7 linked regions of the Zea mays genome follow. The main gene of each other region encodes a partner of the protein of the gene in region 5 in a complex. Links are inferred from orthologs where the notes say so. Each region holds a gene or a part of one and is shown on either strand. Other genes may lie near its edges.

Evidence for each region.
Region 1: Probable mediator of RNA polymerase II transcription subunit 19b (region 5) and Mediator of RNA polymerase II transcription subunit 23 share a complex: the UniProt entries of both Arabidopsis thaliana proteins name them as parts of the mediator complex. The link is inferred for Zea mays from reciprocal best matches to the Arabidopsis thaliana genes AT5G19480 and AT1G23230.
Region 2: Probable mediator of RNA polymerase II transcription subunit 19b (region 5) and uncharacterized protein LOC100216950 share a complex: the UniProt entries of both Arabidopsis thaliana proteins name them as parts of the mediator complex. The link is inferred for Zea mays from reciprocal best matches to the Arabidopsis thaliana genes AT5G19480 and SFR6.
Region 3: Probable mediator of RNA polymerase II transcription subunit 19b (region 5) and Mediator of RNA polymerase II transcription subunit 21 share a complex: the UniProt entries of both Arabidopsis thaliana proteins name them as parts of the mediator complex. The link is inferred for Zea mays from reciprocal best matches to the Arabidopsis thaliana genes AT5G19480 and MED21.
Region 4: Probable mediator of RNA polymerase II transcription subunit 19b (region 5) and mediator of RNA polymerase II transcription subunit 8 share a complex: the UniProt entries of both Arabidopsis thaliana proteins name them as parts of the mediator complex. The link is inferred for Zea mays from reciprocal best matches to the Arabidopsis thaliana genes AT5G19480 and MED8.
Region 6: Probable mediator of RNA polymerase II transcription subunit 19b (region 5) and Probable mediator of RNA polymerase II transcription subunit 26b share a complex: the UniProt entries of both Arabidopsis thaliana proteins name them as parts of the mediator complex. The link is inferred for Zea mays from reciprocal best matches to the Arabidopsis thaliana genes AT5G19480 and AT5G05140.
Region 7: Probable mediator of RNA polymerase II transcription subunit 19b (region 5) and Mediator of RNA polymerase II transcription subunit 33A share a complex: the UniProt entries of both Arabidopsis thaliana proteins name them as parts of the mediator complex. The link is inferred for Zea mays from reciprocal best matches to the Arabidopsis thaliana genes AT5G19480 and RFR1.

The regions. Positions count from the first base shown.
Region 1 is NC_050100.1:213,173,174-213,176,673, forward strand, and holds part of Mediator of RNA polymerase II transcription subunit 23, read right to left. Parts: intron 3,473-3,500; coding exon 3,259-3,472; intron 2,952-3,258; coding exon 2,665-2,951; intron 2,306-2,664; coding exon 2,222-2,305; intron 2,027-2,221; coding exon 1,932-2,026; intron 1,171-1,931; coding exon 1,008-1,170; intron 925-1,007; coding exon 679-924; intron 204-678; coding exon 36-203; intron 1-35. UniProt on the Arabidopsis thaliana protein: Component of the Mediator complex, a coactivator involved in the regulated transcription of nearly all RNA polymerase II-dependent genes.
Region 2 is NC_050096.1:232,623,766-232,628,052, reverse strand, and holds the start of uncharacterized protein LOC100216950, read left to right. Parts: upstream 1-1,487; coding exon 1,488-1,523; intron 1,524-1,880; coding exon 1,881-2,055; intron 2,056-2,212; coding exon 2,213-2,736; intron 2,737-3,248; coding exon 3,249-3,425; intron 3,426-3,772; coding exon 3,773-4,153; intron 4,154-4,287. UniProt on the Arabidopsis thaliana protein: Component of the Mediator complex, a coactivator involved in the regulated transcription of nearly all RNA polymerase II-dependent genes.
Region 3 is NC_050099.1:37,999,011-38,002,606, reverse strand, and holds Mediator of RNA polymerase II transcription subunit 21, read right to left. Parts: upstream 2,249-3,596; coding exon 1,955-2,248; intron 1,312-1,954; coding exon 1,240-1,311; intron 1,143-1,239; coding exon 1,091-1,142; intron 1,020-1,090; coding exon 943-1,019; 3' UTR 933-942; intron 759-932; exon of another isoform or gene 756-758; 3' UTR 501-755; downstream 1-500. Other genes in the region: putative X8 domain containing family protein isoform 1 precursor, read left to right, coding at 1-106, 202-227. UniProt on the Arabidopsis thaliana protein: Component of the Mediator complex, a coactivator involved in the regulated transcription of nearly all RNA polymerase II-dependent genes.
Region 4 is NC_050102.1:151,801,048-151,805,316, forward strand, and holds the start of mediator of RNA polymerase II transcription subunit 8, read right to left. Parts: upstream 2,801-4,269; 5' UTR 2,667-2,800; coding exon 2,428-2,666; intron 2,275-2,427; coding exon 2,150-2,274; intron 1,168-2,149; coding exon 1,043-1,167; intron 941-1,042; coding exon 757-940; intron 625-756; coding exon 520-624; intron 203-519; coding exon 135-202; intron 1-134. UniProt on the Arabidopsis thaliana protein: Component of the Mediator complex, a coactivator involved in the regulated transcription of nearly all RNA polymerase II-dependent genes.
Region 5 is NC_050096.1:177,740,554-177,744,053, forward strand, and holds part of Probable mediator of RNA polymerase II transcription subunit 19b, read left to right. Parts: intron 1-548; coding exon 549-835; intron 836-921; coding exon 922-1,116; intron 1,117-1,208; coding exon 1,209-1,268; intron 1,269-1,362; coding exon of another isoform or gene 1,363-1,407; exon of another isoform or gene 1,408-1,648; intron 1,649-2,760; exon of another isoform or gene 2,761-3,500. UniProt on the Arabidopsis thaliana protein: Component of the Mediator complex, a coactivator involved in the regulated transcription of nearly all RNA polymerase II-dependent genes.
Region 6 is NC_050103.1:106,778,687-106,782,934, forward strand, and holds the start of Probable mediator of RNA polymerase II transcription subunit 26b, read left to right. Parts: upstream 1-1,448; 5' UTR 1,449-2,206; coding exon 2,207-2,803; intron 2,804-2,890; coding exon 2,891-2,959; intron 2,960-3,057; coding exon 3,058-3,140; intron 3,141-3,341; coding exon 3,342-3,397; intron 3,398-3,482; coding exon 3,483-3,604; intron 3,605-3,704; coding exon 3,705-3,732; intron 3,733-3,825; coding exon 3,826-4,208; intron 4,209-4,248. UniProt on the Arabidopsis thaliana protein: Component of the Mediator complex, a coactivator involved in the regulated transcription of nearly all RNA polymerase II-dependent genes.
Region 7 is NC_050097.1:165,231,155-165,234,105, reverse strand, and holds part of Mediator of RNA polymerase II transcription subunit 33A, read left to right. Parts: coding exon 1-302; intron 303-414; coding exon 415-506; intron 507-596; coding exon 597-936; intron 937-1,047; coding exon 1,048-1,258; intron 1,259-1,635; coding exon 1,636-1,750; intron 1,751-2,724; coding exon 2,725-2,886; intron 2,887-2,951. UniProt on the Arabidopsis thaliana protein: Component of the Mediator complex, a coactivator involved in the regulated transcription of nearly all RNA polymerase II-dependent genes.

The sequences.
Region 1 (3,500 bases), on a different chromosome or scaffold from region 5:
ATGACATCCACAATAAAAGAATAATTAAAACATACAAGATTTGCACTGTTGATCTCAAGATGTCCATTCATCAGCATCCAAGCACCAGCACAAAGATATTGACGATGCTGAGGGAAACTGTGGCTCAAATAAGTCATGACATAGTTTGGCTCAGCAGATGGTGAGAGCAGCTGATTACATTGGTTAATAACAGTCGTTTCTGCCTGAAGAAAAAGGGAATATATCAATACAAAAGACAAAGAATGATGCAGCCTGCCCCAAAAACTTCACTGATAAACATGTGGTAGCAATTTAAGGACACAATAAACAGTACTATACTAAAAAAATGAAAAAAAAAATATTTTTGGAGATCTGATAAGTTTTAAACCTCCCTCCCGCCCATTGACAACGACTATCAAATCCACCGACCCAATTAGTTGAATTAGGTTTCAAGTCATTGACTTTATCGCAATTAGTTGTCTGATCAGGGAAGAGTGACAACTAGGCTGGCTGCTGGCGTAAGGATATTGGGCTGGCAATTGAGGTATGGCTTGGTTGAAATGTTGAAGAAAACAATTTAGGTTCCAAGCAACTAAAAGCTAACCAAATGTATGTGGAATACATAAATGGTAGAAAGTAGAAGTGTTGAAGGAAACATACAAGTAGTCAAACACCCAGTCCTAAAGGTAAAAACAATACCTGCTGCCATGCTTGGATAGCTAGACCCCTCTTATCCACTCTCCCCATTAAAAAATCACGAATGAGAGGAGGAAAATAACGCAGTGTCTTTTCTGACCAGGTATGCTGACTGGTTGCCATAATTTGCTCTAACAATGGTTGAAGATAAATCATGTGTTCAACTTCAGCAATTCCACGCGTCTTGATAGTGATTGCAAGACTTATTATTGTTATGCGGTTTAGAGTTTCAGTAAACTCAGTCGGGCCCTGGATTAAATACATGTAAAAGTTCATTTTAATATGATCTGGTGAGTGTCAGATTTCCAAAGGCAAGAAAGTACACTCATTACCTTCAATTCCTTTTTCACAAAAAAGAAGTCTTTCAGTGAGAGAATCAAATTCATGCACAAATTTTCTGCTAATCGAAAAAGACGATGTTCTCCACGTTTACCCTTAATCATTGATATTATCTTTGTGACATCATACATCAACGCCTTGCTTTTACCATGATACCTGAACAACACATTGGTGCACAGAAAATTATGAATAATAATTAATAGAAGGAAAGAATATTAGCCTACCCCAATGTTCTTGAACCAAAAGGCTTAAACCGTTTGGGTTTCAGAGACTGGCTCCCCAGCCTGGGCATTCTTCTTTTATGGCTTGGTGGGAGCAGATTTCTGGGTTGGCTTCTGGTATCCGTGGTAAAGGTCTTAATTCTCTTGTGGCCTTAGGAGCTTGGATAACCTGGAAGCATCGTAATAGTTGTGTTTTCGATGGTTGTACTCCTAGTTTAGATCTGTCCATTAATTTAGCCAGGGAGGAGAGGCAGTCTTGGGAGATGGCTGGGGCTAAGGGTCTTTCATACCTTGCTGCCCTAATTCCTGGAGACTAGGGAGTTGTTTAGTTTGATGGATTTTTTCAGTTTGCTGTGTTTCTGGCCCCCATGAGGAGGCCTTGTAATTTGTCCAGATCTCTTTGATCTGGATTTATCTCTTCTTCTTAATATATTGAGGCGCAGTTCTCCTGCGTTTTCCCAAAAAAAAAAAAAAGGTTTTGTTGTTGTTCTAAAGGAAAGATTGCAAATTTTCAACAAAAACAAATGGAAAACAAGGTCTCGCACATTTTCATGTGAAAGAAGTGCAAAACATGGTGTCCCTCCTACCCAAGGGAAAAAGAAATATTCATGGAAAGGTGGGAATATGATATGTTTGATAAATTAGGATTTCCTATCAGACAAAGAGGGAAGAAATTACATAGTAAATTATAGATACCTATACAAAGGCAGCAATCTGTAATTTAGTATCTCAAGTAGGAGCAATGACACACCAGATTTGCTCAAAATAGATGGAGATCTTTGGGTTAATGCCTGCAAAGTTTAATAAAATAATGTGCAGACATCAGAATTTCCATCACTGTGTCTTGTATGTAGTTTTGAAAATGAAACTTTTACATTGCACAAAGTCATAATTCAGAAACCAGACAAAAATAAATATTCAGGGTTGCATAATGACATGCTGCTCTGTACCAGTAGCATAGTTCAACACATAACATAAGAACTTACCGTAAAATGGGGACGAAACAATGAATGGGGTGCTATAAGCAGTAACCTCACATAGGTTTCCACCATAGCAATGCTAGGGACAGCCTACCAAAAGAAAGAAAGGGTCAATACTTGCTGACAAACATACAGTTGTCAAGGTGTATAGATACTACTAGAAAATTTTACTTACTGAAGACTACGAATGATTTCATAACATATAAATATTCACTTTACATAATGTCAAGGAAACACGTGGTAATTTAGACATAACACAAATTTAACTATTTTTGATAGAATCATGTGATATTGCAATCATATCAAATCATGTCCTTGTTGTAAATATTGAAACAAGTGCATGTTACTTAGATCCACATGAACACTAAAAGGATAGCATGGACTAAAAAATAGACAAATAGAAGGAATAAACTTAGGTCTTATCATCAGTTCATGCTTGGTGTTTCTACCTGGCCAAGAAATATGGTCTCTTCAAGCTGGTAAGCAAGCTTCAGACAAAGATTGATAGACAAGCCAGAAAGCAATGACATTGACAGAGGGTAAGTTTCACGCATCATCATTATTCTTTCACTTGGCTGCATATTAGGCCCTTGAATTAAATCTGCCATTCCAGCTGACGTAAACCAATTCATTACTGCTTCACAAGCTGGTTGCGCCATGGTGAAGGAGAGAACCCAGAACATGCCTGTTGCTCGTTCGTCCAAGTTCGTAAAGTCTATCATCCTCTCACCAGAAGCTATTATTTGAAGGAAGAAATGGTAGCTTTGATATTAATCACAGACACACAAAAGAATGCAAGGCGTAACATTTTGTGTAATCACAAATGTCACTCCAGAAAATTGCAAATGCACAAAATGAACTCTAAACTCTAGTATTACTATGCGTTGAAAAGAGCAAGAATTCTTCTCCTTGAAGATTCTTTTCTGTGGTCAACTGGTGACATATTGCCTATCTACGACGTCAAATTTCCTTCCATGAATTCTGGATCTACAAGGTCATCTATATACCAAAATCACAATGGTGCTTCCAGAGTAAGCAAGTACCTTTCATCATCTGTTTCCACCATTCGTCAATCTGTTTTCCTTTTTGAAGCTGATCACTGTTCAAATGTTCTCTAATCGAAGTGTTGAAAGACCAAATGCGCAGAGTCTGACTACTACTGATGAAATCAAGAAGAATACTTTGAGGGCCAATATTATTGGCGTCAAGGCTTTTGTCTTCTTTGTGGAATGAAATTATCTTTCTTGTGGTATCAACCTGATAGCAGAAGAAATGATCAGAATAT
Region 2 (4,287 bases), about 55 Mb from region 5:
TATTAGACTACAGTGTGGATGGTGTTCATACGCTTTCAGTGAATATGGTTCATTTTGATATTGCTATAACCAAATATACATTCATGTCTATCTACTGGCATAGCTTTGGATTTTAAAGTGAATTATAGCATAACACAGATCAATATACTGTTTTCTTCAAATATAGAACTGTTAATGTTCTGCTGCCACAGGCAGTGGTGGATCCAGGAATGGATCAAAGGAGGGGCTGCTAAAAGAAGGTTAGTTTTTTTAGGCTGAACTAAATGATATATCAATGTTTAATATAACAAAGTAACAAGTATAATTCAAATCTTCAAGACACATGTAGACAAAATAAGTAGGTACGAAATCTATAAATACAATACTCAATATATACCGCTCAAGATATCTCCATCAGCTTACTCATCCTCATCTCATATTTCAAACCCCACTCTATAAATAGTGCATTCTACAGTGTAAAACAATGTTTTACACGGTCATATGCACGATCTGCTGGCCATAGCCTCATGAATTACGGTTGCAACGTAAATTTATCTTTCGAGTTCTTATGCCTTAAAAACGTTTCAAAATCTTGTGCTGGCTGCAGCGTGCGCCTTGCGCTGGCCTGCACCTTGTGCTGGCTGCTGGGCGCCTACACGCTGCTAGCTGCTGCAGGTGTGTCGGCCATGCACGCTGGTCCGTGGCCGTGTCCTGCGTGGCGGCGTGGGTGCACAGTGCGCTGCCCGTCAGGCTTTGTGATGCGGCACTGGCACTACTGCAGTGTTATGGCACGGATGGGGGCCAGGCGCGCGTGTGTGCGGCACTACTGTTTGGTGCTGGTGTGCTGTGGCGACATGGCTGCGTGGACGAGATCGGGTGCGGGTGCTAGATGCCACGGTTAGATGGAAGGCTGTTACCTATTTTTGTTGGATTTTATGGACTAAAATTATGATATGATATAAGTATTATTGGACCGGGGCCGCCCCTGGCCACAAGTATGTGTAAATTGTACATTTTAATGGGCATTTACAACAGTGGCATTTTTTTATTTTAACCGCAAAATGATGCTAGAAACTTTTCCAGTGGCTGTTTGCCTTTGGGTTGAAAATCATTGGCATCTCAGCAGGTGTCTCTAAATTAATTGACTGGCTGGACAGCTGATTCATATGATATTTTGGGTTGTGATGAGTTAATATGACAGTTGGAATTTTGGGTGATATTTCATATTTTATACCTTTTTGGCTTCAATGTTTGATTTACTACCTTTCTTCCTTTTATGATTAATGAATGTACAATTGTACATGCAGAACCTTGATAGGATTAAGTGTAGGTTGTTGGAAGGAACAAATGCCCAAGATGTACGGGCACTTGTGTTGGACATGCAAGCAAGATTACTTCTGGATATGCTAGGCAAAGGAATCGAGTCTGCCCTTACAAATCCATCAACTCTGCTACCTGAGCCCTGGCAAGCTTCCAGTGATATGTTATCCAGCATCGATGCTGACAAAATGACTGTTGAGCCAGCTCTGCTTCCAAACATCCAGGTCAAGCTGTCTCCTTTATGCAAGTTGTTTCTATTTCATAGCCATGGAACTTAAATTCAGCTATCTAACATTCTTTCTTTCTTTTTACTGACTTTATTCTTTTAAGACTTGCTACTGAGCCGTTTTTTTTCATTTTATAAAGTAGTGAGCAGTATATTGGTATGCTAGATCACTTCCATGTAAACGGTACTTTAGTTATGTTGGTGAACTCATGTGCAATGTCTGTTATCCTTTGCCAAAACTGGTGTATTACAGCCTTTTAATGTTGAGTATTGTATAAATTTCAGCACAGGTTATCTGCATAGGGATTCTTTATGTTACTAGGAAATAGCTTATTTTATTTGCATTCAAATGCAGGGTTACGTTGATGCTGTTCTTGATTTAGCATCACATTTCATAACTCGCTTGCGGCGTTATGCGAGTTTCTGTCGAACTCTGGCGAGCCATGTGGGGCCATCTTCTACCACAGGCACTTCTAGAAATATGGTTACAAGTCCAACAAACAGTTCTCCTTCGCCATCAAATAATCAAGGTTAGCTATGCCTGCTAGCTTGCTAAATCTTGTGTTTTTCTCTTGTTTGTGCGCAAAAAAGTACATCCAAACCTTATGTTTTCTTCATTGCAAATTTGAGGCTTAAAGTGTTGTTTATTTAGTGCTGCTAGCATCTTGATGCTCCTTCAAATTTCAGGTAATCAAGGGGGATCAACATCTGCAACAGGGAACTCACAAATGCAGGAGTGGGTCCAAGGTGCAATTGCTAAGATTAGTAACAATTCTGATGGTGCTGCCACTGCAACACAGAATCCAATGAGCACGAGGACATCATTTATGCCCATCAGCATTAATACGGGCACTTTCCCTGGCACACCTGCTGTGAGACTTATTGGGGATTGCCATTTTCTTCATAGATTATGTCAATTACTGCTATTTTGTCTGCTTTTCCGAAGAAGGCAATCACCAAGGTTACTTGCCAGTTCGCAAAAAAATCAAGATTCTGCCATGCAGAAAATACAACACATGATGAATGCTAAGACAGAAGATAACAGTTCGACAGTAAGATCTGGTCTAGGGGCTGCCAAAGTAGAAGAAGGTCACTCTGCGCGTGGTGGACAATTTGTTCTTGGTGGTGCAAAGGGTCCTGAAGAAAATCCAATTGGCAAATCTGTTAGAATAGGTTCTGGCAACGCTGGGCAAGGTTATACTTCAGATGAGGTGATTATCAAATTCTTGACAAGATATAGTATTTTTTACAGAGTTTAATATTGAGTTATACTAAGGAAACTTTGGGAGTTAGTGCTACCAAACTGGGACTGATCGTTGGCATTTGAACTTTGGGAGTTAGTGTGAAGAAGCTGACGATGTGCCAAATGCGCTGGAAAACTGGTGACCTGAAGTCCTGAACATAGTGATTAGTTTGGAAACAACTATGTTTTGGCTCCTGCATTTCTTTGGAAATGTCTAGCTTTGGTTGCTATGGGAGAACACATGTCGATATAGCCATCATAGAGTGCAATTGCGTATGTAGGTTATTTTGGACCCTTGATTTAAGCAGTTTAAAATTTTGTCCAGCCTAGCATGAACAACAGTTTGATTGCATATGTCGTTCATGATCTCTATTGAGTGATTTATCAGATGCTTTACAGATCTGTCTTTCTATTCTTTGGAAGATTTCTTTTTGTCTAGTTTATCTAATTATCTCTGTAATTTTATTTCATTGTTGGTAGGTCAAGGTCCTTTTTCTTATACTGGTTGACCTATGTCGAAGGACATCTACCTTGCCGCATCCATTGCCTGCCTCTCAGGTTGGTTCCAGTAGCATTATCATAAGGCTGCACTACATTGACGGCAACTACACAGTGCTCCCTGAGGTAGTGGAAGCGTCTCTTGGTCCCCATATGCAGGTACTAGTCAAATTCTCATGGAAGTTTCTAATGGTCGCTTTCGTACTATTTGTGGCCATTTTGAGCTACCAACATCTATCAATTATAGGAGTAGAAGTTGATTTTCAAGTGCACGACTCAGAGATATTGCAAGTCTTCCTGTTTCGAACTGAATTCAGGACGACCACCTTTAAATGTTGATTAGGATTCTCTTAGCAGAAGTTATCTTTTTTGTATTAGCCATTTTTTATAGAAACATGCACTATTACTGCCAGGGCCTTAGACATGGCATTTTGAGTGATCCCTCGATGCCTACTTCCCCATCTATTTTCAATATTTCATTGTTTCCTATGTCTGTAACTCTGTAGAATATGCCTCGTCCACGAGGAGCTGATGCTGCTGGACTTCTACTTCGAGAATTAGAACTGCAACCTCCTGCGGAAGAATGGCATAGACGCAACATGTTTGGTGGACCCTGGTCAGAACCAGATGATTTTGGTCCATTGGACAATATGCCTCGTCTAAAAATTAGTGGTTCCATCAACTCTCATTTGTCTGACATGGAAGTGGATGCTGTCAGTTCCATTGGGATTGATCTTTGGCCAAGAAAGCGTAGGTTATCTGAAAGAGATGCTGCATTTGGTCTGAAAACATCTGTAGGTCTTGGAGGTTATCTAGGTGTCATGGGATCTCGAAGAGATGTTGTCACGGCTGTGTGGAGAACAGGTCTCGATGGTGATTGGTACAAGGTGAGTATGGTTATGGTCGCTTTACCTTTTGCTGTCAAGTCTGGGTTCATAGTTCCTTGACGAGTTCTTTATTAGAGAATCCTGGTTACTCCCCTAATATACTTCGATGCCTAAATTTGTTGTTTCTTCTTTCT
Region 3 (3,596 bases), on a different chromosome or scaffold from region 5:
CTGTCGCGGGCGTCGGTGGCCATGAACGCCTACTACCAGGCCCGGGGGAGGAACTCGTGGAACTGCTTCTTCAACGGCACCGGCATAATCACCATCACTGACCCCAGTGAGTGCTTCCTTGCTTGCTGTGAGTGTCTCATTGCCCGTGAACCGTGTTGGGGGAGCTGACACCGGATGATGGATCATTGGATCCTCTTGCAGGCCTTGGCACCTGCAAATATGCTTGACACGACGGGCTGCTCTGCTGCTGCTGTGCTCAACGGACGATGAATAAGGCTGTAGGGGAATGATGCATCTTTTCCTTCTCTTTGTTTTGTTATTGTGTCTGTGTGAGTGAGCAGGGAGTATCCTTGCAGAACCAACCAGTATCATGTCTGAGCACTGTAGAGAGAATTTCCGTGCTTTTATTTCCCAAATACAGTTCTACTCCAGGCCAGTGGCTGGAGGGGAGTTTAGGAACAGGTGTCAAAGGTCTCAGGTACTGAACAAATACCAAAATATAGAAGAAATCCCAGAGGAAGCCAGGTGCCAGATCCATTAAAAAGACCACCACAGTTCAAGCGTCAGTTCATACTAAAAACATTGCACCTTACAACCAAAGGTCAATCCTAATCCGGCAGATCAGAATGCCAGTACACAAAAGCTAAGTGCAATTATTGTTCACTAGTAGAGAATCTGAAAAGACGGAATATAAAGTTCTTACTGGCATTCATCCTCCACACTCCATCCACAGGAACAGTTTCTTTTCAGCAAACCTGCTATGGCAGACATTGGATTTACGTCAACACAATATCTTATGAGCTAGATCGGTTTCCAACACTTGATGCCAAATACATACAAAACCAAGAAGTAACTGTTGGAGCCAAATTAAAAGAGAAATTGACTTTGACAGTGCATTGATAAGTTGTAGGAAGAAATTCATCTCAACTTACATTAACGTAATTAATCTAGCTTCTTAAAATTTATGCAATTGTCTGTTGCTTCATTAAACAGCACCTCAACCTGCTTCAACTCCCTTTCTGTAACGCAATGACATCAGTAATTAGACATATAATAGTAAGAACTCTAGAAACAGTGGGGATCGTGTTACCGGCAGCTTCAAGTTGCTTCTGGAGCTCCAGTCCCACGACTTCATTCTCTGCCTGCAAATTTCAGATTTTCATACAGTTTATTTGGAGTAGGAGTTTGGCAGATGCCCATCCTGTGCTCGATGAATTAATCTGACTGTCTGATATCTACCTGTAGCTCTTGGATTCTTTTCACTTGATCCTCTTCTGATGATAGTGGCACTGCTGCAACAAGTGCATCAAACTGCATAGAAGGCCATAATTGTTCCTCATTTAAGGGGAAAAAGTTGGAACTGCAGCAAGCATAATTTGAACTAAAGTTTGCCAGTCTTTACATTTCAAGTTTTCAACCATGGTTAACACAAAGTGATCTCCCTCACTCCCTCCCTCCCGTATGCATCACTCTACGTCTGTACGCTGTTGTTGGGATAAACATCTTATCTTAGGAAATGGAGCAAGAGATGAAGATTCTACGTCTGTACGCTGTTGTTGGGATAAACATCTTATCTTATGAAATGGAGCAAGAGATGAAGACTCTACGTTATGTACATTGTTGGGATAAACATCTTATCTTATGTAATGGAGCAAGAGATGAAGATTGTTCTGTACACTGTTGGGATAAACATCTTATCTTATGCAATGGAGCAAGATATGAAGACTAGTAAGTGGCAACACGGTTTCATTGTTTGTCTCCACATAACGCGGGCAAGCAAGCAAAAATTAAACAGTTGGTCCTTCACTTATTCGCAGCATCAGACTTACGAGTAAAACTACGAAGCGAGCCGAAACTTTCTACTTAACCACACAAAGATATTTTGGAATCACCGGGCGGGCATTTGGTCCAGAAGATGGGGACACCGAGAAGAGAAGTGGGGCAGGGTACCTACCTTCTTGGCCGCGAGGACGAGGGCGCGGCTCATAGCCTTGGGTTGCTCGGTGAGGTCAGGCGCGGGCGGCTGCGCCTGCGCCTGCGCCTGCGCCGGTGGCGGCGGCGGCGCGCCGGGCTGGGCCTGGACCTGGGGTTTGGAGTCGTCCTCGGGCTTAGGGTTGGGGTTGAGCGGGTCAGGGTAGCTGCTGGAGAGGCGGTCCGGCGGCGCGTCCCTCTGCAGCGTGCCGAAGGTGTTGACGGCCAGCACGGCCATCTCGTCGAGCTGGTCCTGCAGCTGCGTGATGATGTCCATGCCGAATCCCCACCACTCTCTCCCTCTTCTCCTTCCTCCGTCCCAGACTTGCAGGACGGCGGCTTTATTGTAGCAGGCCGATTTCATCCAGGAATGGGTCTGCAGGATCCAGCCCACGTAGCATGGACCAGGCCGGATCTAAAAAATGTATGTGCCGGTATTCAAAAGATGCTCGCTCATATTCCTGGGATACCACCAAGTCTTCCGGTCACCACACATTTGCAGAATGCTGAGCCATCGGCAATTTTACCATTGTCATTTATAGGCTTCATTAATATGACGTCGGACCCTAAATTATAGACACAGATGATTCTATCAGTTATAGATATGGGATAATATAATAAAGTCAAAACTGAGAGTGACAAAATTATAAATTGTTTGGCACCAAAAGGAGCGCGGACGGAGGCCGGACAGTCCGCGGTCCGGACAGTCCGCGCCTGTGGGCCGGACGGTCCGTGCGTGCGCAGAGTAAATTAGGGTTCCGAGTTTTGTGCTATGTTTGTTAGCTAAAATCGCGGGAAAAGCTCGGAAATTAGTTTGTAAAGGGTCCAGCCCCCTCCTCTATAAATAGAGAGGTATACGGCCGATTTGTAATCATCAATCGAATCAATACAACTTATATTTCACATTTATTTCCTGTACAATTAGGAGTAGTTCTAGTCTAGTTCTAGTTTAGCCTCTCGATCCCCAAATCTTCCGCCTCTCCTCGACTCTACGTCGATTAGAGAAGTCTAGGTCAGTCTACCCGAGCCTAGACACCACCTAGGATCTCTCCTCCCCGACGGGGTCCCTCCCGGGAGCGAGATCCAGGCGCCGCCGGCGATCTCCCGCCGCCCCTGCGCACGCGCGGACCGTCCGGCCCTAGGGCGCGGACCATCCGGCCGTCAGGCAGGGAACCTTAGCTCCTGCGCCAGGTCGCGGACCGTCCGGCCCTGTGTCGCGGACCGTCCGCGCCTGACCAGAGAGCACCACCGCCTCGCGCCAAGTCGCGGACCGTCCGGTCCTGTGCCGCGGACCGTCCGCGCCTGACCAGAGAGCACCGCCGCTGGTTTTTTTAAGTGATTGGCGCCTCCAAAAAGGTGTCAACATACTTTTTGGCGACTCCGCTGGGGACACAAATATAGACGCATCAAATCGGCCCTCAATGGCCGGTTCAAGAGATAGCTCTAATATTTCCCCAAGCAACATCATAGAGCCGACTTAGGAGACCTTGCCGGCTGACGAACAGCTCCAGTTCGAGGAGCACAAGGAGCAGATGATCCAGGAGGCAAAAGCGAGGTTCTTGGCCAACTTCAAAGTGGACAGGAACAACAAAGTCGTCCGACATCGGGCGACAGATCCGGCTTCA
Region 4 (4,269 bases), on a different chromosome or scaffold from region 5:
TATCAACACCATGGGAAGATGACTGATGTCATAAAAACAGAATGAACCAAAGAGGTTTTCAATTCAAAAGAGTGATAACAATAGAAGATAGACCCTTTCTAATATCATAATAATAACTCAGTTATAACAGAAACCTGAATCTGATTTCCCTGGCTGTTGACACTATTAGGTGCAAATGTTGACATATTTTTGGGATAACTACCTGCAAATACAAATAGAAATTAGATGTGCATTTGTCAAATACATCTCCAATGCAAATGCCAAAGAGTTAAGCATACAAGGAACTTCTACGGCACAAATCTCCCATTAATATGGCAAATGTTAAACATATAAGGAACTTTTACAGCACATATCTCAATGCAAATGGTCGTGATTTTAGCAATTGAGGATAAACACTAATCCTAGCACAATAGGAGTTCGGTCTATAGCGCATGAAAATGAGACAATCGACAGATGTTAAAACTCAAAACGAGGAGAGGTTCATTAAGAGAGTTTAGATACACAAGAAAATCTACATACCAGAACTATCACCAAAATTTTGTGCACCGTCTCCTAAAGGAAGCACTTCTATCAGATGGATAGGAAGAGATTGTGGATGCCTCTGATCTCCAGGTACCCGTAATCCTGGCATTCAGATAATTTTAGTAAGGCTATAAGTATTGAAATTGTAACACAAAATAGAAGTAAAAAGGACTCTTTATTTTGGAAATCTAATTGCATTTTTTATTAATATTGACCAAGCACTATGCCTTTCACCTTCACCATAATTTACTGCTGCTCTAAGTAGGCCTTCCTGCTCCTGTATCTTTGCAGCTTGTGCTTTGTCCAATGTAGGACCAAGATTTGTCCCCTGACGGCTTCCCAGCCCATAGCTCTTACGGCATTCTGCAATTACTTTCTCAGCAGTTTCGCATGCACTCCCAATCATGTCTATTCTAACCTGAAAGGGATGGTACCAGGTTCATTCTAATTAATAGATAGCCGATAAATCAAGCTAGCAACACATGCTATAGGTTTTCATTTTTCATACTAAATTGGTCACCTTTAATTTTTCAATCTGTGTAGGCACAGGTAGATTAGTTATTCCAGACAATAGTTGCTCTCTCTTAGTAGTTTCCTCAACTTCCATCTCAGGCAGCAGTTTTGACGACAGCATTACAGGTAGTACTGCAATATTCATAAGGATTATACTGCAACTCTAATAATAAATAACTGTACAAACCATTGATAGTATGCAAAATGGGAACACTAGATGACAATGCATCAGAACAATTAGAATGACCATTTCCAATACATTTTTGTTGGGTCATTTGCACTGTGTTTATTTATCTCAGAATAGCTTGCCATGAAATTAAGGCCATGGCTAGTAGAAAACTTCAAAAGTCTGAAACCTAATTCAGAATTTTGATTAGTGGACAACTGGAAATAAACATCAGTTGACAGTAAGAAAAATCTTAGATTGAATCTTCATGTGTAATAAAACTTGTGAGAAGACCCCAAAGAAACGGCACAGCAAAGTATTAGCCCAACTGGTCATACTTGTAGTCATCATTCATCCTTACTTTAGAAACAAAATCATAGGGTTTTTTTCTAAAAATATATGGAAGCATAAATGAATCGTATAATCTCATCATGTGTTGAAAATCATAATCTCATTAGGTGTTCACCAATACTGGACCATGAACAACGAAAGACTATTTAGTGTTGGGTCAAATAAGGGAAAATGTTTGATGGATTCCTTTGGACTCAATACAGTTGGTTACATAGCAAAACTTCAACACATAAACTGAGCAAATTTTCATATCAGATAATTTCTTCCCAAATTACATGCTTCCATTGATAATCTTTCAGAGAGGTTGTTGTTCATGTCTTGATTGAACCAACCAAACTTTTACAAACAAGGGCAAAGAACTCTTAATGTCTTTGGAAATTGTTGTCCCTGAACTGGAGATGATTTATTTCATGACTGAATCAGTAAACCATGCAACTAGAACATAACCAACAGATGTTAAACTCCCCTATGTTAGATCAACTAAATATTAATTATGATTTCTAAGAAAACAAATACCATTACGTGATAACCAAATTGACACAGATAACAAAAGATATATGCATATCCATAAAGGGGAAAAAACTCAGAACGGCATACTTGTTGCATTCTCGGCATTGACATTCCGGGGGTACACGACAAACACCTTGGACACATTCTTAATGTCCTCCACAATGTTGAAGAGCTCCATGCTCACCATCGAGAACTGCCCGAGCACGTCCTGCCTGCAATTCACCCAGAGGCAGCCATACCATACCAGTAAGCAATCGCGCAGCGACGCCACACGAGCAGAGGCATCCTAATTAAACCCTAGAATCCACTGCTGCCAGCCATCAGCCGATAGCCAATAAGAGGGGCGGGGCTGGGGATGAAGTTACCACTTGGGGGAGGCGCTGGGATTGGTGCGTATGATGACGTCAAAGTCCTCGAGGATGCGGGAGATGGCCTTGTACAGCCCCACCGCGCGCGCGCGCATCCCCTCCAGGTTCAACTGCTGCTGCACCCCCGCGCTGAGCCGCTCAACCCGGGGAGCTGCCTGCTGGTCCCCTGCGGCTGCGCCCGGAGGTGGCGCGCCAGCGGCGGGTACTGCACCTAGCGCGGCCGCCGCGGGGTCCATCGCCGGAAACTTGCGTTGGGGGCGGTGGCGTTGCGGCGGAATGAAAGGGGGTGGCCGGAGGCGGACTAATGGAGGATGTTTTCAGATCGTTATGGCGGTACCACCAGTTTGCGTGTCTGGCTCAGACTGACATGTGAGGGCCGGGGGACAGTCAAGTCAATTCTCTGCACTCGACAAAACATGTGTCCAGAATCCAAAAGTTCATAATGCAGAGTTCAAAATTTGGAGAAGTCCTAACAAAATGTATACCTAGATGAGATGAGCATACAGAGTCGTCATATATTAAACTATTTTTTATTTAACTAAACTTAGAGTTAATATACTTATACAAAAAGAGACGGTGGTATTTACACCATTAAATTGGTATCACTAAATATGTGTTTTTTGTGTCATCCTCACGAGTATACTGCCTGCAGCATGCTTCAAACTTTACAGAATTTGATGGCACGTACGCCTCCTAGTTCACACAGAGGAGCTGGGGCTAATTAAAGCCAACCTACAAGCAAACGGACTTTACAATGATAGTGTAGCCGATGCCTGATGATGCTAAGTTTGTTTAGCAGTTTAACAGGTATAGATGTCTATATTGGCCGGACAGCCAAATTTATCCGAAGCCTGGTACCAACCCGGCACGGCTCGCTGCGCATCGAGCTCGGGACAGCCCGGCACGGTGGACGTGTCGTGCTTGGGCTTTGAGGCCGGCACGTCGTGCTCGGCCCGACCCAGCACGAAAATGAGCCAGACACGGCGTCTGTCCGTTCCACGCCGCATAACACACATCGGCCCTGCCCCATGACGCACCCCCCCGGCATTCGCTCGCTCGAAACCCTAAACCTAATCCCCTCCCCTTCTCCCGTGGCTCCTACCTCTTGCTCCTTGGTGACCGACGAAATCTCGCCTCTCCCGCCGACGGCTACTGGTGACGGCTACCAGCGACGGCTTGTTTGGACATCTATACTCTCCTCATCTCTTCGCTCATCATCTTCCCTTCCTCACACCCGAATCCCAATAGAGTAATCCCCATCCTCGGCTCCTGACATCCTCTTAGCAGAGGTGTTCCTCCTCGCGGTGGTGCTCTCAAGGCGACTAAGGTGCTCCGGCTGCGCAGGTTATGTCCTGAACCCTAATCTCCATCCCCTTCTCTTGTGTATTAGATCTTGATTGGAATCCCATGGATGTGATGAATCTCCTAGGTATCGCTTGTGTCGGTGCCACGTAGCTGTCCAGGGACCCCAGTCGTCGGCGAGGAGCCATCTGTCTACGGCATGGACGATGACCTTCATCCGACCGTTGTGGACGAGGAGCACCGGCTAGAATATCATAACAAAGCAGAGGATGCCCGGATCCTATTTGGCAGTAGTGTTGCCATCAACATCGATAATGATGATGATGTCCCTGGTGCCGCCACCGGTGGTCAAGCGGGCACAGGATCCACGAGCCCGACACCGACCGGCACAAGCACCGCCGCCACCAGTTCCAGTAAGTGTCCTCTCAGATCTAAAGTGTGGCATGACTTTGATGAACCGACTCACCTTGTCAATGGTAAGATGGTATGGTATGGAGCCATTTGTAAGTACTGCAAGGTGACTTTAAGTGGTAAATC
Region 5 (3,500 bases):
CTGTTTGATGGAAGCAGGTAAGTATTATTTGTGATCCCTATGTTTCCCAGTTCCCCTTATATGCCAATTATTCAGTATGCAAATCTGAAATGCTAAATCCTAATTCATGTGGGCACAAAGCAACAGAGTTATATTAGTATCACAGCTTGCTTGATTATTAGTTATCGTCATTAGTTTGCAAAAAAATTAGTAATAATTATATGCTTGGAATTTTAAATACAAACTTCTGGTGCTGATTCTTTTGCGGTTTTGCCAGTTGAGGCCAGTATGTCTTGTAGTCAGCTGTTTACTACAGTTCTTTTTACAATGGCAAAATTTTAACTGTTTTATTTACTTATTTACAGTTCACAATGCGTTAGTTGGAACTTGGACGGTTAATATTTTGTGTCATAGTGCACAAAGTTGTTTTATGAGCCGCATTACTGCATCTAATGTCTATTGTATGCTAGAATAAATTTTGTATCATAGATATATCAGTGCACCTATCTTTTCTGAAACCTTATTTGTCTGCTATGTGGTTGATTGATAATACGATCTCTGTATTTCAGGACCAAGGGAGCTCACTGGTGCTGTTGATTTGATCAGCCACTACAAACTGCTGCCACACCATGATTTCTTTTGCAAGAAACCTTTGCCGCTGGCAATATCAGATACACATTATCTTCACAATGTTGTGGGAGACACTGAAATTCGCAAAGGAGAAGGAATGGAGTTAGATCAACTTGTTCATAATGCATATCTGAGGGATAAACCTGCTTATATTCAGCCCTTTGATATGGAAACTCTGGGGCAAGCGTTCCAACTTCGAGAAACAGCTCTTGTGGATTTGCCTTCTGTAAGATCCTTTCTAGTATCTCACTTCTCTTATGACATTGTTAGATTTGCTCATTGTACTGTTTATAACATATACCATATCAACAGACTGAAAAAGGTATACCGACTATTTCGGGTAAACCAAAAAGTGAGTCCAAGGACAAAGAGAAGAAGCATAAAAGGCACAAAGACAAAGACAAGGAACACAAGAAGCACAAACATCGGCATAAGGATCGGAGTAAGGACAAAGATAAAGACAAAGACAAGGATAAGAAAAAAGATAAAAGTGGCCATCATGAAAAGGTTAGTCCATTTTCTGTATGGTCAAAAACTCTGAATAGCTTCATTTTAAACCATATATACCTTTGATGGACAATGCTCACCATTTGTATCAGAAGAGGAAGCATGAGGGAACAGAAGATTCAGTAGATGTGCATAAGCACAAGAAGAGTAAGGTAGCACACTGCTATTATTTTCTTGCTGATACAATAGCTTTCATAGAGAAAATTTGCCTCTTTGTTTTTAACATGGATGGTCAACTTACGGCAGCACAAGAGCTCCAAAACCGATGAGATGGGGAATGGAGTTAGTTAACACTTCCTAGCTCTACCTCCAATCCTTGTAATTTGCTGTTAAAACTTAAAAGGAGACAGACGGTCTCTGCTATCAAAACCCTGTGCAGAATAGTGGTACGCTTCTTTACTTCCCTTTTAGATTCAGTTTGCTTTTCGTGTAACTTTTTTAGATTCTGTTATTCCGTGGTATCTGCCTTGGATAGCTTGTCTTATTTGGGTGTTTTTTGTCTGATGATGCAAATCTTTTAGCTAGAGGTTCATTGTTAACTTGTGTCTTTAGGCATGTTTGGTTGAGCTGTGGCTTTTGAAAAAGCACGTGTGAGCTGTTGGTCATGAAAACGCTGGAGTCTGGCATGTGAAAAAGTCAAAACTGTTTGGTTGAACAGGTGTAGCTTCTGGAGAAACTATTGAGAGGACCCCACATGTCATTCATAGTTCCCCCACTCAACTCTCCCTCTCTCACTAATAAGAGGACTATGCTCGATAGCTTCTTCCTTCCAGTTCGTGCACTGGGAGGGGCGTCGAGGGCCATGCCTGGGGAGGAACTGCCAGCCTACGAGCGTCGGCCTTGCAGCCACGGTCGGCGATGGAGTGCTGCATCTGTGAGGAAGTCAGGATGCACTCGCTCACATGTGGCGGAGGCTCCCCTGCCAAAGGCATGGTCGACCGGTCGGGAGAGGAGAGGACGGGTGCGGAGGGAGGCTTGCACCTATTAAGTTCTCTATGTTGGAGGATAGGGGCGGGGAAAGGAGAGGGCGAGGGGTGGCGTGCGCCCGTCGCTGTCGGTGAGGCCTCCTGGTAGAGGCCATGGACGGGGGAGGTGTGCGCCCGCCGACAAGTCCTTCCAGGTGGAGGTTAGGGGTGGGGCAATTAGAGGAGGGCGGTGGGTGGAGGCGCTGTCCTCCGGCTCTCGCTGGTGAGGCCTCCTAGGCAGAGGTCAGGGGTAGGTGGGGGGAGGATAGGGGCGAGGGGATGTGTTCACACCCATCAGTCGTTGTCGTTGAGCCCTCGGGCTGTGGATGACATGCTGTGGTGGTGGAGGATGTCGAGGACGATGACGTGGTGGAGGCCACACTTTCTTTCTCATGGAGAAAGTAATAGAGAAAAACAAATGAAATGGTACACAACATAACCAGTAGCAGGTGGGTAATTTTCATGAAAAGTTGGAATGAAGACGGGTGAAGTATTAGTTGGAATGAAGACGGGTGAAGTACTAGTCAATAACTTCTTTTGTTTGTGAATTTGGGTGAAAACCAACCCCTGGCTTCTTTGGGAAGCCAAAGCAGGTTGAAAAACCCAACCAATTGGGACCTTAAGCCATTTTAAGAGGCGAAATTCCTATTTTCTAACATTAGTCTCATCTGATTTTCAGCTTCATCTCTACAATATCTAAATATGCAATGGCATTGACAGCTACTCAGATTCTATGTGGGGCTAATTTGGTGACCAGAGAAATGGAGGTGATCCATGGGGTGAATAGCAAGGCCCATGGATCCCCTCCATTTCCCTGGTCACCAAACCAGTAGGGTGTGTTTGGTTTCAGGAATGAGGTGGTCCATCTTCTCATTCACTTTTTTATTTGGTTTGTAGAACCCAACCAATTAGGACCTTAAGCCATTTTAAGAGGCGACATTCCTATGAGCTAACATTAGTCTCATCTGATCTTTAGCTCCATCTCTACAATATCTAAATATGCAATGGCATTGACAGCTACTCAGATTCTATGTGGGGCTGATTTGGTGACCAGGGAAATGGAGGGGATCCATGGGGAGGAATCCCCCTTGCTATTCACCCCATGGACCCCCTCCGTTTCCCTGGTCACCAAACCCGGTAGGCTGTGTTTGGTTTCAGGAATGAGGTGGTCCATCTTCTCATTCCTTTTTTTATTTGGTTTGTGGAATATAATGAGTTGATCCATCGCACCCCATTCCTCACAAGCTAATAATTAGTATATACATGTGGAACGAGTTGATTCCACTGAAATTTATTTTATGAATTCATCATGCATCACCTCATGAACCATAGGGTGACTCCACAAACCAAACTCACCATTAATTGAACTGTTCATTAATTAGTTGCTCGTGCGTTACAACACTTTGTATACATTATATA
Region 6 (4,248 bases), on a different chromosome or scaffold from region 5:
GAAGTGAAGTTTTTTTGTTTCCTCTCTCTCTCTCTCTCTATCTATCGATCTATCTTTTTTTTAATATATACTCTTCCATTTCCTTTTTCCTTCCTACTATCTCTGCTGCTACACGAAGCCAGCATATGGTTGCTAGTGAAAAGGACACACGACTGGCCCTTCGGCTACCCCAGCAGCCACTCCAAAATGGAACACCCGCGTAAGTCATACTACTGTAGAAAATTTAAAAAAAATGAAAATAAAAAAAAGAACCTCGAAACAACCCTAGCCAGCCACTGTCCCACACTACTGGTGGGAGACGCTAGATGCGCACGCAGTGCACAGGGGACAAAATACAGAGACGGAATTCCTTCTCAACAAAAAGCATGAAACACATGCCACTTTTGAAATGGGAGTATCTATGCGCGGCGTGGGAATAAGCCAGGATGCTCGGATCAAGATGCTAACACTGCAAAAACAGACGATGCATTTCTTTCGCTGTTTATTATAGTTTCATCAGATTGTTTGGTGTAAGATTTTGATGGCTATAGTATTTTTTTTTCTTTTCCCGAGATTTCCGGAGAGGATTTTTTTCTTCTTTTTCTTTCCATCTCTCTCGCTCTTTTCGTTCAATCTTACTTATTATACCGTCACCCATTCTTATCGTTCTTGTTTTTTTGCGACCATGGGTTATCATCTCATGTATTGCGAAACCTATAGTATAGCATTCGACTCCTCATCTCATGTATTGCAAAGCATCGCGGACCTCTTGTGTCTTACGATTTTGCCACCTTGAGAGCCTGCTCTGTACTAGGTGCAGCGCGTCGCACGACTGTGTTAAAAAACTCGTCTTCCGTCTTTTTTTAAAAAACAAATGCACAACAGTTGCCTACAACGACAAGCATTTTTTTTCAAAAGTTATATTCATGTCTCGTCAGTTGTTTCATATAGAATTACGTCTTTATTGTCTCATTCAACCTATCAACTAGAACAAGTACCACGCACCAAGCTGTATTAAATTCACTACAATAAATTTTTTATTTAACACACATTGTACATGTTCCGACTTTATATGGATTTTTTAAAAAAATTAATGATTAAACATTGAAATACGACATGAAGAAAACAGAATAAAAATATATGATAAAGCTTGTGAGGGCATCCCATCCATTTGACATGACACGCTGTGTGCAGTGCTGAAAATACTTGTGCTCGGTAGTCGGTACGCAAATGACTTTGCAATTATGGCCCGAGAGAGATATGCTTTACCAAATAGTAAATAGTTCAGATTATACGCAACTAAACAATAATCATGATGGAAAACCACCCTGTGACTTTGTGAGTGAGCATCATCAACCTAGCAGCACTGCTCCTCAACACAGAGAGAGAGAGAAGGAAAGAGACCGGAAAGGGCGCCCCCCGACGCCCGAGTCGACCGCAACAAGAATCAGCCACGCCGCGTCTCACCCATCTCCCGTAGCATTTCCGCCATCTCCTGCGGGTTGAGTACGGCCGAGTCCTGCTGCCCTTCGCTCGCTTCTTCTGGTAAATTGCAGTTTGTTACCGCAATTGCAGCTGCTAGTGGTGGCGAGGCATGGGCCATGGGAGAAAGACTAGTTGTTGCTGGTGTTTGGTAGTAGTAGCCGCGTAGGTCTCGTGGGTGTGCGCACCCTGCCTTCCCCGTCCCTATCCGCCCGTCTCATCGTCATCCCCTTCCTGTCTTCAACTTCACCTTCCCTGTGTTTCCTCCCCGCTTCCTTCCGCTCTAGGGGTCAGCCAGGCAGTCCAGATAAGATTTGCTCTGGTTAGGCTACCTCCGCGCCGCGCTGGAACTCCCTCCCGGTGAGGTTGTTGAAACCGACAAGGAACGGGGACGTGGGGCCCGAGGAAGGTCACGCTGCTAGTTTTTTTCCTTCGCGATCGATCCCTTCCGCCTCCGGATTCGCCCTGCTCTTGTTCCTCCGCTGTTTTCTCGATCGGTTGGCTGGTGACTCTGCCCCTGCCCCTGCCCCTGCCCCGGCCCCGATTCGGGGGAATCTGATTCGCCGTTGGGCGGGCGGGAGAGATTGGGTTCTTGGTTCTGGTGCCGGTGCGCGCGGCGTAATTTGGTAGCAGATAGAAGCAGGAAGGGGGAGCATCGGCCCTTGGCTGCGCTGCTGAGAATCGCGGTCGGGGGAGGCTGATCTTGGCGACGGTGGCCCGGCGGGGACCGGTGGCGGCCGCGGCGATGGCCGACGGGCTGGATCGGTGGCGCGGCTTCTTCCGTGGCGCCGGCGCTGGCATCTGCGACGTCATCGAGAACGCCATCCTCGTGGCGGCGGCCGACGCGCCGCGGGACTTCCTGCACCGCCGCGACCGCATCGCTGAGAGGCTCTTCACCGCGCTCCGCCGCGACGCGGCGCCGCCGTCCTTCGGCAGCGCCGCGGCGTCCACCACCCCGGCCACTCCCGTTGAGGAGGACAAGGGCAGCGTGCGCCGCGTCGCCGAGAAGGAGTGCAAGGTCGACAGCAGCAGCAACGGTACCCACGGCGGCGGCGGCCATGGCCATGGCCACGCCGATGAGGACGATGATTCTGACTCTGACGACGAGCGCCTCCGCCGCGCCGCAGCGAGCAACTATGGCCACAACTACGATGATGATGACGAAGATGGCGACCAACAGGAGGAAGATGAGCAGCAGCATGCCGCGGATGATACTGAAGAAGGGGAGGAAGACCACGACGCTGAGGAGCTCGAGGCGCTCACCAATGAGATCGATGAGGAGTCACAGATCGTCGGCGAGGTCCTCCGCATCAAGGAACTCCTCCTGCACAAGGAAGACCATGTACTGGCAGACTGCCTCGTTTCTTCATTTATTTATAAGGTCCTTAAACTTCGAATTCCTCTGAGCTAAATCATGTTGTTCCTGCAGTCGGATGCCACTTTGTTCGATTCACTGAGGAGGCTGCAGTTGATGCAATTGTCCGTCTCTACGCTAAAGGTACAAAATGGATATTGCGTACATATGAGCTATTTGATGTGTTGATCCCTGTTTGCTCTGGCTGTTTGGTTTCTTAATCTTAGGACTGTTCATTGCAGGCTACTGAGATTGGAAGAGCTGTTAATCGGCTGCGGAAACACAACTCACGAGAGATTCGGCACCTCGTGTGCACTCTCATTGAGTAAGTTCCATCTTCATTTCTGTCAATTTTGGTCCCTAGTGCTACTTCTCTGTTGCTTTCAAAGTGCTTAATAGCAGACCAAAATCACTGATCAAATATCAACCAACCAATTGTAGATTAGCTACATAATCATTGGAAGTGCCTTCTTGCTAGCGTTCTTGGAAATGTTGTTGACATATGAGGTTACCTTGTGTGTTTCAGAGGTTGGAAAGTTTTGGTTGATGAATGGGTCAGTACCACAAATGCTGCCCTGACAGGTAACTGAATTGAATTGATCTAACAGTTTCTAAATGAAGACTGGCATCTTAGCTTAATATGGATATTTGTTCTTTGGTGCTGTAGAGAACTCCCCTGGCTCTTCAAATCCTTCTGTTGTGGATGAAGAAGAGGAAGGGCTTCCATCTCCACCTTTGGACGAAGGGGCCTTCTTTGCCACCCAAACCACTTCTATTCAACTCTCTGAGGTACTGATATAGTTAATTCCTGCCATCTGATTGGGATTTGTGTTTAACAACAATCTGACTCTGTGTCTGTTGTTTTTCCTCCCATCTCCCCAACCTAAAGTTCTTTGACGAAATGGATGAAGATGGAAGTGAGTACAGCAATTTAGCAGTTCTTAATTTTCCATGCTTATTGCTTGGTTTTAACATTATGATGATTATTAACGTTGCGCATACGGTGCCAGATTTGAGACATAGTAATGACCCGAGCCTTGGAAACAAGAGGGGTAACAATGGTGGGAGACTTGCAAGCCATTCAACGGTTGCAAGGCAAGATCCACCTCGCTCTTATCCTGGAGTCGTCGAAAGAGTTCAACCCAGGAGGCTAGAACTGGCAAGGCAAGAGCCACCAATGAGGCAAGCGAACCCACAAACCCTCCAAAGTTCAAGTTTGCAAGCCAAACCTCACGGTGCGCTCAACAAGCAGTCTAATAATCCCTCAAGTTATGAATCTGGACCGGGGAGACCAGTAAAGGCAGCTCAACAGAGACCATTTGGTGACATGAAACCTAAACAAACTCGAGAGCATGTTGCTATCGAGAGAAAGCCTATGGCAAGCCAGACAGATGTAAGTACACGCAACTAAGGCACATGTTTTTGACGATGGT
Region 7 (2,951 bases), on a different chromosome or scaffold from region 5:
CTGGGGGGCATTTACTAACCGGTTGCACTTGCTTGCAACAAACTCATCTACCTTGCAAAATTCAGCAATATCCTTGGAACCATTTCAGCATTTGATTCTAGGTGATTGTGATGCATATGGTGAAACTAAACATAATGTGCATAAAAGATTCCACCAAATAGTGGCTTCTAACCCTCTATCTTCACCAAATGGACGATGTCTTGGTGCTAGCTATTCTGCACTATGGATTCCTATTGATATGTATCTTGAGGATTGTCTCGATTGTTCAATTGCTGCAACAAATTCTATTGAGATTTTAAGTGGTAATGTCATTCATCAATAGAAACGAATTCATAGGTTACCTTGAAGGATGGATCCATTTCCTTTTTTTTTTTGCTTTGGGTTGCTGCTAATCTAAATGAGTGGAAATTGTAGGTTTGGTCAAGGCTCTTCAAGCAGTCAATAGGTCGACTTGGCATGATGCTTTCTTGGCCCTCTGGGTAGCTTCACTTCGCCTTGTACAAAGAGTGAGTCTTCGATCTTCACTACAGTTATTCAGATTTGAGACAACATTATAATATTTCACATCCTAATCTTTGGTCGTTTGAAACAAGCAGGAAAGAGAACCAATTGAAGGTCCTGTACCTCACCTAGACACCCGGCTGTGCATGTTGTTGTCTATCACAACACTTGCGATTGCTGACATAATTATGGAAGCAGATTCACTTTGCAATGAAACAGAACTCAACAGTCATGTGAATGAGAAGAAAGCAATTGGTAATCTACGCAATGAATTGATGCTAAGCTTACAGATACTTGGTGATTATGAAAGCTTGCTGGTTCCTCCTTCATGTGTCATCCCAGCAGCTAATCAAGCTGCTACTAAAGCTGCAATGTTCATTTCTGGAATCAGTATAAACAATGGCTACATGGATAATGTCAATGGGATGAACTATAGTATGTGGCTTCTCTTAAGATATTTTTTTTTACACATATAATTGACGTTCTAGATTGACCTTCTAGTGGATGTAAGGTAGTCTTAATATAAATCATGTTTTAATTTGTCAGCTGGAAATATGCGACATTTGATTGTGGAGTCATGTATCTCAAGGCAGTTGCTGGATACATCAGCTTACTATTGGCCTGGTTATATCATGAATCATGCCAACTCTACATCTCATACACTCCCTAGTCAACTTGCTGGTTGGTCATCCTTCATGAAGGGTGCACCACTGACTCAACCACTGGTTAATATGTTGGTATCAACTCCTGCTTCCAGGTGTGTACCCCCCTGTTTTATATATCAGCAGCGCTGTTCCCTGATTCATATCAAAAAAAAGTTTGATCATAATCAGCATAAGTCTTGCCTTATGGCTTTGTAATTGGTTTTTTTGTCTCTCCTTTAATAGTAAGGCATGTAGCTCTCCTGCCTTGTTCGAAAAAGGGGGGAAAGGCATGTAAATTCTATGTTTGTTTCCTCCAAAAAGAAACGAAAAAATCAAAATAAGAACTTGCATTGTAGAATGGTGTACATTAAAAAGATTGCACTAGAGCTGAGCTATTAATATTCCTATATCTCAATATTACCATATTTGTTAATTCTCGTACATCATTATGGTAATAAACACTGAATGAAGCTCATAAACTTGATGGAAGCTTGGCAGAGGTCGACAAGTTATTTGAAGTTGCAGTTGATGGGTCAGATGACGACAGCATTTCAGCTGCCACTGTTTTATGTGGAGCCACCCTTTTACGAGGTTGGAATTTTCAGGTTAGTAGGCTGCAATTTCTAGTGTTGGCTCTCCCTGAGAGATGAGCAATTCTATTAAGTTGCATGCACCAACCAGTTCAATCCAAAAGCTTAAGCTGATAGGAGGCGATTATGCACCAATCAGTTCAACCCAAAAGCTTAAGCTGATAGGAGACGGTGCACAATTGACTTCTATTATATTCCAACATTCTCCCTCACGTCGACCTCTCTTAGGTCTCATGCGTGGAATATGAGCGAACATTAATTATTTTATTTAATTGCGCTAGCCAAGATTTGAACTCATGACTCCTGGCTCTGATACCATATTAAGTTGCATGCACCAACCAGTTCAATTCAAAAGCTTAAGCTAATAGAAGGAGGACAACCCACTTATATTATATTCCAACAAAATCACTTATACTCCAACACCCCCCCCCCTCACATGGAGGCTTCCTCTGGCCTTAGACGTAGAATGGAGCAAGCACCATTATTTTATTTAATTGTGAAATTGTTCGCCTTTCCTATCAGCTTAACATTTTGGGTTGTATTTGTTGGTGCATGCAACTCAATATGGTACCATAGACAAAGATCTCGAGCTCGAATCCTGGTCAACAATTAAATAAAATAATTATCGCTTGCTCTTATTCCATGTCATTCCATGTCTGAGAGCCCCCCTCCACATGAGGGGAAGTGTTGGAGTATAAGAAAATTGTAGAGTGTTGGAGTCTAAATGGATTGCCCAGAGCGTTGGAGTATAAGTGAAATGTCACCTCTCCCCATCAAGTTAAGCTTTTGAGTTGTATCGGTTAGTGCATGCAACTCAATATTTAGGTCTATAGTATGACTAATACTGACCCTATCACCGATTAATTTCAAAAAATAACTATGTGCATGGTAGCATGCATTGCCTGTTTTTATTTTACTCGAGAATCAATGTAACATCTCGCTGTCCTGAGATAATTAATAGTCAAATGCTGTGGTTTCCTGCCTTGTAGGAGCATACAGTTCGGTTAGTTGTTAAACTGCTCTCACCATCTGATCCAATTGATAATTCTGGAAGAGAGAGCCAATTGATAAAGCTTGGTCCAATGCTCAATGTTATTCTTTCAGGAATATCGGCCGTGGACTATGCTCCAATCTTCTCGTTCCATGGCCTGGTATGGTTAGCAACTTAGCATAACCACCTACAATCCTACATTGATTTCCACTCAGAAGTCTATAT